Linked DNA regions of Tribolium castaneum. The protein of the gene in region 1 interacts with the protein of each later gene in a pairwise test. Links are inferred from orthologs where the notes say so. Each region holds a gene or a part of one and is shown on either strand. Other genes may lie near its edges.

Region 1 (6,693 bases):
TCCCATATAATTCAATTCATTCAGTGTAACGGTTGCTAGTCATCAGTAAACTTCCAAATATTTTTGAAAATGAAGTCAATAATATTTGTGGCAATACTTCACTGCGTTTGTAAGTTAAATAACTAATTTTCGCACACAGTCTACAATTTTGCGATAGATTTAGCTTCTGCTGAAAGTGAACCTTTCCAACTACCCGACTCGATCAAGGACTTGGAAATACCAGACATGGACGAATTCGCCGTAATCAAGGAAAAGTGCGATAAAGAAGGAGGAAACGGGACTTATATCAAGTTCAAGACAACTGCAAACTCGCTTTCGACTTGCATGTCCGAATTCGTGTCCCTAAGTACGTTGGAGGCTGAGGTCATGGAGTCAAAAAAGACCGGCTCCATGGACGAAGTTTTCGGAAAATACTGCAAAAAGCGGTCGCAGTTGGCCACATGTGTGCAGAGCTTCATCAACAACCTTCGCCTCTGCCTCAATGCGGAAGAGCAAAATGCACTGAATATCACTCTAAATATCGTGAAGGAATTGGGCGAATTCGCCTGTTTTAAGGATGGGGACAGGATTGCTAGTAATACAAGACACAGTTTAAATTTCCGAAATTAAGTCACAATTTTAGTGTTCGTGGCCGAGGGCGGGGTCGAATGCATCAAAAGCCGCACTCAGGGAATTCAAAATTGTGTCAACTCCACGTTCAAAATCTCCCCGCAAAGCGTCAACCCCAACGCAATTCCCAACATATTGATCGATAAGAAGAAATGCGAGTGAGTCACGAATTTGTGGGTATTTTTACGTATTAATAAAATTGCAGCGATTTGGGTAAACTTCAGCGATGTGTTGTCGAAGAATTGGAAAAGTGCAAAGACAGCACCCCTGCTAATATCGTTGATGCACTTTTTAAGTTCGTCAAGCGTTCGGCGTGTTCTAATAAAAACAAACGGAGCGCGATGATCCGTAAGTTCGGAACTGGAACATCGCGGAAAGTTTCAAGTTTGTTGTTTCAGACCGCATTTTGAAAAGACACGTCGCAACGGTCAACCATTATTTTAATTCCTCGGAACTGAACAGCATATTCGAGTCCACATTTAGGGAAAAGTGCAAAAATGCCCCCGAAAACGGCTTTAAATCTGTCCAAGTAGCTACAAACTTGGAATTTTTAAGTTCGTGTTCTATTTCAATTATTTTAGGAAAGTTTCAAAATTGCCAAAAAATGCATCTACGATCAGACCACCGAGTATCCCATTTTTGCCACACCTTTGGAGAAGTTCCAGGAGGAATTTAAAAAATGCACCGACGATTTTGCCGAAAAGGCCAAAGTTTGTTTGCCGGAAAAAGAAAAATATTTCCCCGAATTTTACCAGAAAATCTTTATAAACTTTATCGAGTTTTTGTACAACAACCAAAACACAATTCGTAAGTTCCCACTAACAAAAACAATTTTTTCAAACATTTTTTTCCAGTAAGGGTGTCGTCTAGGTCCGAGCTTGTTAACTGCTTCCAAAATTTCAAGCAACATAAAGCGAAGTCCGAAATGAGCAAATGTTTCCATTCGTTTGAATCCACCAGTTTGGAAAAAGACGCAGTTTGCACGTAAGTCCCCAATTTGCCAATTATTACCTTGTGATAATTAGTTAATTTCAGGAGAATAACAAAAACCAAAAGTTGTGTTACTGGACAATTACAAAAGAGGTGCATTCGCGATGTCACCGTCAATCAATTAGTCGAAGATTTCTTCGAGGTGTTGCTGAGTCCTTGTGATAAAAGTGGTTAAAACGAGATTGTTTCCACCGCCGGATAATGGCACTTCCATACATTATATTAAATTTATTCTTGGATAAATAAAATAGACGAACTTTAGCTTTTACAAGTGTTTTATTGGAACCACATTGGAACAGCTCACGTTTTCCTGTCTTAATAATGACAACAGACGATCTGACTTGACTTGACCTGACTTGACTTTTTGAAGATATTATTCTTTCAAAAAAAAAAGCAAAATTGACGTCAAAACCACGACTCAAAACTTATCGATCTATCGCAAAAATGACGCTTTTACTCCTAATAATTTTTTCTTTCAAAATTACGGTCTTATTACAATTTAATAATAAAGCACCTATTTTTTTCTTTCTAAAAATTATAAAACAGTTTATTTAGTTCTTTGTGTTCTCACTTAAATGCCTACTGTAATAATATAAAATTTAAACCAAAAAAAATACTTAAAACCAGTGTAAAATGAGAAAAAACAAAGCGGTCTTTCTCTTTTTAATAAAATAAATAATCCATAAAATTTACAGCAATATATTTCTAAACCACTAATTATCAGTAAATTCGGAATTCCACAGGTCCATGAAAAAATAAATTAAAAACATTTAGGAAATACAGTAAAACCATACTTTCAGCAGACTCACCCTGTATACTATTTTATATGTAGTTACGATTTTTTGTCTTTTTTGAAGTAAATAAAAAAATAGGATTATTATTTTGGAAACAATATGGAGAAATATTTTTTATATTAATTTTTTTCATTAGAAAATAAATTAAACTGAACAAAATAAGTAAAAATTAGATTTGGAACCTATTTTTGTAATTTTCTGCATCTATGTATTGAAGAAAGGTATCCTTAAAAAAAGAGTTAAGGTTTTAATCGCTTTTTATTTAAAAAAAATAACGATTATTTTATTTATGCAATATAATGTAAACAGTTAAGAACTTATACAAAACAAGTTTAAATAATTTAAAGAATATTTATGCACGAAATGACCCCATTTTTTCAAATAAAAGCCACTTCTCAATGAAAAATTAGTCGAGTTGTTTGAAATATGTCGAAAATACGAGGGTAGGTCAATATGTCCTTACAAAATCTAGGTGGCGGCGCTCGTCGCGTAGTAACCAATTTTTATATCATCTTCGTATCAAATAATTTATCAGCGTATCAATATAATTTTTTTACCAAAATAAATTAATAAAAATAATAAATACATGCATGAAAACTAATACACTTGTGTCGTGGCTCCCTCTTACATAAGCTGTGCAACCTATCACAGAAACCTATGTTGCATAACAGTCGGTAGGCAACCGGCAAGACAGAAAAGAGAGATGCGAAAGCTTCAAAATGGCTGCTTGACTACCAGTAAACTTGTGTTTTTAACCCGAAACTGCCAAACAAACCATTTATTTAATTAGAAAAAATTCAAAAAACACCACTAAAGTGAAAAATATTAGTGACCAGAACTACTGTGATTTTTTTAGTGCCAGTTTTATTCAAAAATCGGTCTTTAAATACCTGTGTCAATGCACTTATGTTAAAGTACAGTCTGTGTTAAAAAAATCCAGGTGAGAATTTTAAATTTCAAATTTTTTTATTAATATTTATAACTGCGATTTTATATTTTTAATATAAGTATAACAATGTTATAGTCGTTTTTGATGAAAAAAAGCGGTAACTCTGCGGGTAATAATAATAACAATGAAAAAAAAGGAAACTCGAAAATTAGATATGCAGATATGCAAAAACGAGAAGCTCTGCCTCCTGAATTATCTCATACGCGAAAATCGCGATTTATTATCACTTTTAATTAAGCAATCCCAAGGTTGTTAATTACATTTTATAGAGCAGAACTCAGTTGCAAAAAGCGCGAATGAAAGTAAATACGTTCAATAAAATTGAGTTTTAATGAACTCGTCCCTGATTAGGCGCTTCTGATTATATTATATTCAAGACAGTGCGCCTAAAACAAAGTGAGTCACCACTTAATCCGAGCGAAACCCTATTCATCCCCCACATGTTACACGGGGTAACATACCTTCTATACAAATTTGACGGTCGATACTGGACAAAAAATAAAAGTGCTACTTGAAAAGCTTCTCAGTCGAAAGCTTTTGTTTTTACGCGACCCTTCACATAAAAAAGGATTTGTAATCAGGCTACAAAACTTGCTGTAGTCGTATTCCGGGGTGAGTTTTAGTGCTTGCCGCCCCAAAGAACTATTTACTATATTTTGTTAAAAAACTCTTACTTTCCGCTGCGGTCAACTCATTTCTTGTACGATTGATCCGCCGTGTTTTTACAGTGATGAATCTTTCATTGCTTACCCAACCTTAACGTTTGTTAACCGAAATCACCTGCTTTGAATATCAAATTGATGGAGAGACAAAGAGCGCGCAAATGAAAAATTACACGCTCGTGAACATTTTTTCGGAAAAATCTCTTGTTACAGTCACCTTCACGTGATGCATGATACATACGAGCGGATTTATTGCTCTCTCACTAACAATAATTTTAAATGTCAGAATAACCAACCAGTTGAACGTAAAAGTAAATAATTAAATTGCCTCAGGACGTCGTAAAATATGTAACTGTAATTTAGAATAGGCTTAATTAGGGACTTGATGTGATCGGTAGCCGGTAGCCGCATTTTTCATCTGTAGTTGATTTATTTTTTCAACATTGTTGCGGACAATTATAATCAAGATAATTGCAGAGGAAGGCATCCATCGAATTGCTTAATTAATTTTCGCACTAGCTTTGTGCAATCAACGCAAAAAATTATTGCAACACGAGTTTCAGGATCGTGTCTAGTGTCCATTTGAAAAGCTAGTTCTGCATTGCAACAACTCCATCAAACATAAATTTCTCCCGTAATATCAATAAATCTGCAAACTTCGTAACTGTAGTAAAATTCATTATCTCCTTTTGATAGAACAGTTGGAAACCAACTCCAGCTGGTTGCCTTGTAATTGTTGGTAGCAGGTGGTAAACAAAAACTTAAACACGTTTCGAAACGTCTTTGTGCCCTAAAGACCATCGGCGAAAAAACAGAACATCATACTTCGAACAAAATTAAACTCGAGGCAATTTACGAGAAAATTATAAACTGGAATGACATTAAGCCGATAAATTGCGTGTTTCCGACGTTTCTTTGGGGAGCAGAGAGTCCCAGGAGCCACTAACGTTACTTCCTAATGGCAAAAGGCGATATACAGAGTGACTCAGCCAAATACCTATGACATAACTCATTGTCAAGTGTTTTTCATTTTTTATTTAAACTATTAGATACCAAAAAATCCGACTATAAAAAAATTAATTTATTCTTCGACACTGCCAAAATCTTCGATTTTTCTCCTGTGTAAGGAAGTTTTTACAACTGTTTTGGTATTTTTCATTATGGAACGTCAGATTATTCTTAACAAACTTTAAGCCTTGTTGAGTCTAAAAATGTTGTATTCAACTCGTTTTCGTGTAAATCGGCTAAGTTATTTCACCTCGTGAACGATAAACCAGTCGTTTTCACTCGTGACTTAATAATCCACTCGTGATATTAAGTGTCCAATTTACACTCAAACTCGGTAAATAAATAATTATTATTTACAACTCGTTTTTGAAGTTTTTGATGAAACTATTAGATTTATTTTTGTTCTATTTGCTGATTAAACATCAAAAAGTAAAAAAAAGTAATTTTTAGGAAATATTTTTTACTCGTCATTTACCAATTTTCTTCAAGTTTATAATGAAAAGAAAGTATTGTTTTTGGAATTATTTGACAAATATTATATCAATACACATTTACTTACCCTAGTTGATGTGCAATTTTTGAAAAAAATATTTTCAGTTTATTTATAGTACACGTTTCTGTAAATCTTTACGAATGTCAATAGTGTGCAGAACATGACGATAAATATATAATTTACTTATTAAACGAATTGGGAATAATTTTAAAAACCATTACCTAACAAAAACTGGTGATAACAAAATTTGTTACAATTAAAGGAGACTACTCGGGAGAATAGTAGAGATTTTATGGCAATATTTTTGGAGATATAGTAAAATAAACTCATCTTGTATTAAATAGAAGTATGTATTTTTTCTGATAATTACAATTTTGTTAGTTATTTTCTTAAGAACTAACTTAAAATAAATTGTATGAACGTTATTGTGCAATTTAATTTTTGCTGAAATTGAATGTATTTACTCTAGAAAGATGTTTTCATTTTATTTTATAGGCCTTTTGGTTTGGAATCTTATTAAATGACGAACAAATTAAGTATAGATAAATTTGCAGAAAGAAAAGCAAAAAAAAAACAAATTTTGAAAGCTAAATTTGAGGATCTTGCAAATTACTTGAAATAAATTGTATGAACGTTATTGTGCAATTCAATCTTTGCTGAAAGTGTAGGTATTTTACTCATTTTACTCATCATATTTTATATGCCTTCTAGTTTGGAATCTTATTAAATGACGAACAAATTAAGTATAGATAAATTAGCAGAAAGAAAAGCAAAAAAAAAACAAATTTTGAAAGCTAAATTTGAGGTTCCTGCAAATTACTTGAAATAAATTGTATGGACGTTATTGTGCAATTCAATCTTTGCTGAAAGTGTAGGTATTTTACTCATCTTATTTTATAGGCCTTTTGGTTTGTCAATCTTATTAAATGACGAACAAATTAAGTATAGATAAATTTGCAGAAAGAAAAGCAAAAAAAACAAATTTTGAAAGCTAAATTTGAGGATCTTGCAAATTATTTGAAATAAATTGTATGAACGTTATTGTGCTATTCAATCTTTGCTGAAATTCTAGGTATTTTACTCATCTTATTTTATAGGCCTTTTGATTTGGCAATCCTATTAAATGACGAACAAATTAAGTATAGATAAATTTGCAGAAAGAAAAGCAAAAAAAAACAAATTTTGAAA
Region 2 (6,496 bases), on another chromosome or scaffold:
ATAAAATACTTTTTTCTAAAAAAACCGAATTGTGTTATAAACTTTCAGTCAAATTTTCATGTTACGATTGTAAAAACTATATACAAAAATGTACAAAAATATATTACATTTAGGGATCTTACGTACATTTAATAGTGATGTGCGCTTAAGCAGATTGGAAGCATCGCGAACTGATTTGTCCATTTATTCGTATTGCTAGAGAGCAGTCTTGAAAAAAATTGAATTTCCGTTTCATGCAGATACAACATTAAGACACGGCCGTAAAAAATTTGGACGCTAAAAATGGAGGTAGTTAAGTCCGTCTGTCTGAGCAACTGAACTTATAGGCGGTATTAAATTGTGCATTAGGCTCGTTAAGTTTTGAATTAAACGTAAGCCGCATGTCTGCCTCTGAGTCGGTTAAGAAACACTTTCCAACTGTGCACCGTTTTGCCCGACCAAATCCACACACTTGACGTTATTCCCACAATCATATACATGAGATATTTGATCATAAAAATGGGAAAGAGCGGATGTGAATATTCCCTAATGTCTTGCGGACAAGGCACGGCATAGGTCTGTTTGACGCACATGTCGTGATTCCAAGTCAACATCCAATTATCGAAATTAAACTGTTCGTAAAACAGGCAAGCAATGACCATCATTGCAGGTACTGTGTATAAAATAGAAAATACGCCGATACGGATCATTAGCTTTTCTAATTTGTCGGTTTTTGTACCGTCGTGTTTCATTACCGTACGAATACGGAATAGCGAGATTAAGCCGGAAGTTAAAAATACTAACCCGAAGACTAGATAAATGCATAAAGGTATGAGAATGAAGATTCGCAAGGCGTCCACGTTCCAAATTCCAACGTAGCAAACTCCGCTTAGTACGTCACCTGAAACGGTTTAAATACATAGTTAAATGCTATTATAATCAGAGAAAACGGAAACGCGATCAAGCGCGACAAATTTGTCATCATTTACAACGACCAGAAAAGCGGAATTGGATCATTTGTCACATAAAGTGAAAATCGCCTTCTAAATGAAATATTAAATAACAGAAATTCAAACCAACCCAAAATAGCAAAATGTGTTGCAGTATTGAGTAATAGTAATTAAATCCCTTATGAATTAAAATCTTATAAACACTAAAAATAATTAATATAGAATGGCAAAAATGTTCGTTATCAGGTAATGCACGCAAAATAAATGTAAAGTGAGATACATTCCACATTATGAATAAATTAAATTGTACATAGGACACTCATAAGAGATCAATTAAAGGTAGGGTTGGTCATTAGATTTGAGATTACATTGTGTTATAAATTTTATTTTTGGAAAGTTGGTCATTTTACATAAACTTGGTGTATGAAAATTTTGTCATTAACTCATTACCGAAAGCTTTATAAACAAGTTCTGTCTTTGCGAGGTTTTTTCATAATTTCAGAAGACAGTTCCAATCTAAAACCTATTCCTGTTAGACAAACACGAAACATTAATTACAAATGTTACAATTTTGTAACAAATAATTTTAGTTATTCCACAAACTCTTATTCTCATAATAAACTGAAAAATAAATCTTCCCTTGGATAAATTCATCATTTACGTCATTGAAGTTTTTTTTAATAATTTTTAACATCATATCAAAAATAAGTTAATATAGCTTTTTGTTTGCGGTTATAAATAAAACCTGTTTGTATAATACATTCAGACCCAAATTTTACATAATTTACTGAGCAGTAACACTTTTCTTAAAAAAGAATCGGACAAAAGCCTGAGTCAAACGGAGAATATCGTTAAATAAGGGAAAACGACACTATTAAATTTTGAATTAGACAGACATTTAATTTTTTTATTCCCTATCGTTTAGATTATTAATTTATCTGCTTTTTCGACTAGAAATACTTATTTTTGCGTCGGCCATAAAACTTAGAATTAATTAGAAAAAATTACCAAGTGTTCGTGCCATGTCACCTTCAAGCAAGATCAATATTGCAGCCTGATGATGATTTAATTAAAATCGAAACGTCGCAAAATTATAAACAATCAAAAACAATTTCTTCCGTAAAAAATTACAAAACAATAAATTTAAATAAATTTAACAGTCAAAATTGGCAGCAGCTCATTGTCTCTGTGGACCACAAATTAATTGTGTTCGTTTATTGTTTTGTCCCTAAAAATTTCTTTAAAAAATTAGTTATGCTTTCATGTTGAAGATTCATAAAAATTTAGATTTCTGTTTGTTGAACGCATGATTATCGAACTACTGAAGACAGATATCACCACAAATAAAATAAGCTTTTACGTATATTAAAAAAAAAAAAACAATTCACGATTGTGTTGATCTGAGTATTGTCTTGATATAAACTATATTACTACTCAAACATGCCTCTAGTTATACTAATTTTGATTCAATTCATTAAATTGCTGAAAAAAAATTAGGGATATTAGTAATTGAAAAGTAGGAGAAATTATTTGCTGAAAAATTCAAAACCGGTACAACTCTAACCGATAAAATAAAAAGATTTGAAAATTTTCTAGAAAAGACAAGATATTATTTTTCATACCGCTGTAGATTTTCAATACTTAACAATATCTTAAACTTTTTTTGTTCAGCGAACCCAACAGCCAGTGGTACGTATAATTATTGTTTTTGGTAGCATTTCAGAAATAGACTATTCACCCTGTATAAAAAAAATCGAAAAATTTGAGATTCTTTTAGTTTTAATTTTTATTAATTATAATAAATAGTAACACAATTTACTTATTCTTGTGTTTCTTTAAAATGATTCAATTTAACAAAATCCCAAAGACTTGTGACTGATAAATTTATTGCTTTATTTAAAAGTAGTATTTTTTGAATATAAGCAATTGGACGAAACACTTTTCTGATTGTTGGACCGCTTTAGACAAAAACAATTTTCCTTACCATCGACTTTTCCCATCGCCAAAATCGTGATGGTCTTAACGGCCGGAATCGCCCATGCCGCCAGATGAAAATACTGTGAGTTGGCTTCAATCGCCTCATGCCCCCATTTCAACCCAGCGGCCAAAAACCACGTCAGAGTCAAAATCACCCACCAAATACTCGAGGCCATACTGAAGAAATATAAGACCATGAATAAAATCGTGCACAATTCGTATTTGGTCCCTTGTGTGATAATGCTCACTTTCCTGATGCCTTCATCCGAAATCGGCGGTTCCTTACACGCTATGGAATCGCCGGCGATAAAACCGACAACGTACGCCAAAGCGACCATCAAATAACAAACCGATAAAAATATAATGGGGCGTTCGGGGTACCTAAACCTATTGGTGTCAATCAAGAAGGTGCACACAGTGAACAGACAACTGGCCGAGCACAAAACAGCCCAAGTCCCAATCCAGACCCGGGAGAATTTCTGCTTATTTTCGTTGAAGAACATCATGTGGCACGGGGCCCCACAGTTCTTCACCACTTTGTCCCCCACTTTAAGGGAGTAGTCCATGTTCTTCACCTCGAACTGCAGGGGGCACACGAACCCGAAATCCCGCGGATACTTCGCCCGTACCCCCTTGAAATCGAACTTGCTCTTGGGGTAGTCGGGGGGCTCGTTTGCCGGTGTGGGGGTCACACTGATGTTGTGTTTCTCCACGCAGAGATTCGAGTTTTCGGGGTACTGGTTGCAGTCGAGGTTTTCGGGCCAGTTGTAGCCGAATTTCCGCATGATCCCCTCGCAGCCCGACTTGGCCGAGAGGCACAGGGAGCGGCATGGGGGCACCGGCTTCTCCAAGATCGTGCACACGGGCACGAACACGGAGCAGAGGAACAGGTGCAAGTCGGCGCTGCAGTTGATTTTGATCAGGGGGAAGTACTGGTGCACCTCGTAGCCGGCGTCCTCCTGGGTGTTGTGGCCCACCAGGTTGGGGAAAATGGTGCTGTTGTAGGGGACGTCGATGCAGAAAGGCACAGTGATGGGCTTGCACTTGTCATGGGGTGGAATTATTGCGTCTTCGATGTGGGAGATTTCGTGCTGCAGGCCGTTTATGATCGACGAAAGCGCCAGCAGGAGCAGCGGCTTCATCTTCGTTGGGGGGCAAACGATCGAGGGTCAAAGAAAACACATTATTTGCGGGGAAATACTTGAAATTGCACGTTCGGGGAGGAAAACTATTTTTAATAACATCACAATGGACTTGACACCCTACCGAGTACTCGAGACTAGTTTGGTGGCCATTTTCTGATGTTTGCACTAGACAGCGCTACCAACGTTATTACCATTGTATTACCAGTTGTTGCACAGTTTTTTACAGAAATAAAAATGCTGAACTAGATTTTTGATGGTTTTTAAGAAGGCACAATTGTATTAAATACACACAAAAGTATTTGATATAATAAATAACGTTTATTGCAAAAAATATCTACAAAAAATGGTTATGCAACAAACTGTACAAGTTTGTATTTGTCGTAGCCTATAACTCCAAAAACCTGCTGAAAACTGAAAAATTGCTGAAAAGAAAAAAATAAACATTATATTTTTATTATCACAGTTACAGTGATATAAATTAGTGGGTTTAGCAGCTTCTGGCAAATTAAAAACGGATTAGGTACCTATTCTCCATTTTTAGATATTTTAATGAAAAAGAAAGAAAGATAAAATACAATATTGCTACATAGGGTCATATTGAACGTAGGGCCTGACATTCCTTTGAGTAAAGACTCAACATAATTTTTTAATTTTATGTTTATGTCTTCCAATTTCATTAAGGATTTTAACAGATAATTTAACTATCAGTTAGTCAAAAATGAATTTTGAAATTAAACATACAGTGTTGGGCAAAAGTATAAAATCAAGCGTTTTCCCCATAAACTATGTACCTTACAAAAAATCTAATTAGTATTACATTAATTACTTTAAAAATGTGATCATTTTTCAAGAATAAATTTTCCCATTTTTTATAAGTTTTCCAGTTATTATTATAATAAAAAATTTCAAATGATACCTTACTATTGCAATTTGTTTAGTAATAAAATATGCTCTAAAAATAACTTCTAATTTAATAATACTGTTTTTTTATGCAGTAATTTTGATTTGTCAAAGTTCAAAAAATCTTTGTAATGAGTTTGAAACGCAACTTTTAAAATTTGTTTAATAAGACACTGATTTAAAAACAAAATGATTTAATTAGAAATCATTCTTAAAGCATAATATTTTACCAAAAAAATTATCGTAGAAAATCATCATAAAAAAATTACACTAGAAAGCAAAAAAACAATTCTTAAAAAATGATCACATTTTTAAAGTAGCGAATAAATGATGTACTAATTAGTTTTTTCGTAAGGTACAAAATTTTTGCACAAACCGCTTGGTTCCACACTTTTGCCCAATGCCGTATATTTACTAATTGAAAAAAAATGCTCACTGGCGCCGTAATAAAATATTTTTCAAACTAACTATTAGTCTTTAAAAAATATAATAACAAGATAAGTAAGATGAAAACAATAGATTAACAATAGATTAACAAAACAATTATTATCAATAATAATAATAGTTATAAAATACATATTAGAAAAAAAATGCACACTTATGTACAAAATTTTATTATCTAAATCAGTGATTAAATTATCTCCAATATCTTAACGAAGAGTCTGACTATGTCGCTGACAGTTTTCCACCAGTTATGATGGTAATTTAGAATAAACCTCTAAGCTTCAATTGAGCAAAATCCGAAAAAAATATAAACCTATTTATTTAAAACATCCAAAAATCTAAAATTTTGAGAAGAAAAACAAAAAGTTTTATAGTTTTGATATTTTAATTATAATTACCATTGCCGCCCTAGTCTACTATAACATTAAAAAAAATTTGGTTGATTCAGAAAATAACGAAAAATTTACAAACTTTAAAAAATAATAATTTTTATTGACAGAGGAACATTTGTCGTACTTTAGATAGTTATAGTAATTAACTCGTTTGTAATACAAGTTACCGTTCCAAATTTTAAAAAATAAACCCTGCCTTTTGTCTCACCTCAAATAAACAGAAAAAGTGCATAAACTGCTCGAAAAATGTTAGGTATATTAATGTTTTAATATACTCTACTCTACAGCACGTAAATAAATTTAACATCAAACAAATTCTATAAATTTCCCAGCGTTAGAATCTGGAAAAGAAATCATATGTATTTGCTTCTGACTTCAATCTTTTTATTAGTAGATTTCATCTATAATTCATAAGATCCTCAACTTTTTTGCAGTCGGTTTATTTGAATAAAACATGAAACAATAAATACAATTTTAGCACAAGTTTTCTAAAAATTCATGATAGTTCTAAAAATTAGATAAAAACAGCAAAAAAGTTATTTGTAATGTCACGAAACATGCATTAGATTTTGAACTATTTCCTTAATTTTTCAAGATATTAATAAAAAATCTGCTCCTATCTATTTTTAAAATTTTTATTTTCCAAAAAAAAAGGGTTCAATTTTACTATTTTATTTTTTTCTATAATTTTACGTTGCCCCTGACTTTT

What was found.
Region 2: the proteins of stan (region 1) and fz interact in binary tests that used the Drosophila melanogaster proteins (3 or more experiments, as listed by UniProt). The link is inferred for Tribolium castaneum from reciprocal best matches to the Drosophila melanogaster genes stan and fz.

The regions. Positions count from the first base shown.
Region 1 is NC_087395.1:21,415,521-21,422,213, forward strand, and holds the start of stan (protocadherin-like wing polarity protein stan), read left to right. Parts: upstream 1-3,077; 5' UTR 3,078-3,333; intron 3,334-6,693. Other genes in the region: uncharacterized protein LOC656540, read left to right, coding at 70-109, 158-574, 623-767, 815-957, 1,008-1,138, 1,191-1,416, 1,464-1,593, 1,645-1,774. UniProt on the Drosophila melanogaster protein: Involved in the fz signaling pathway that controls wing tissue polarity. Also mediates homophilic cell adhesion. May play a role in initiating prehair morphogenesis. May play a critical role in tissue polarity and in formation of normal dendrite fields.
Region 2 is NC_087398.1:10,365,633-10,372,128, forward strand, and holds the start of fz (frizzled precursor), read right to left. Parts: upstream 4,049-6,496; coding exon 2,914-4,048; intron 881-2,913; coding exon 366-880; 3' UTR 1-365. UniProt on the Drosophila melanogaster protein: Receptor for Wnt proteins.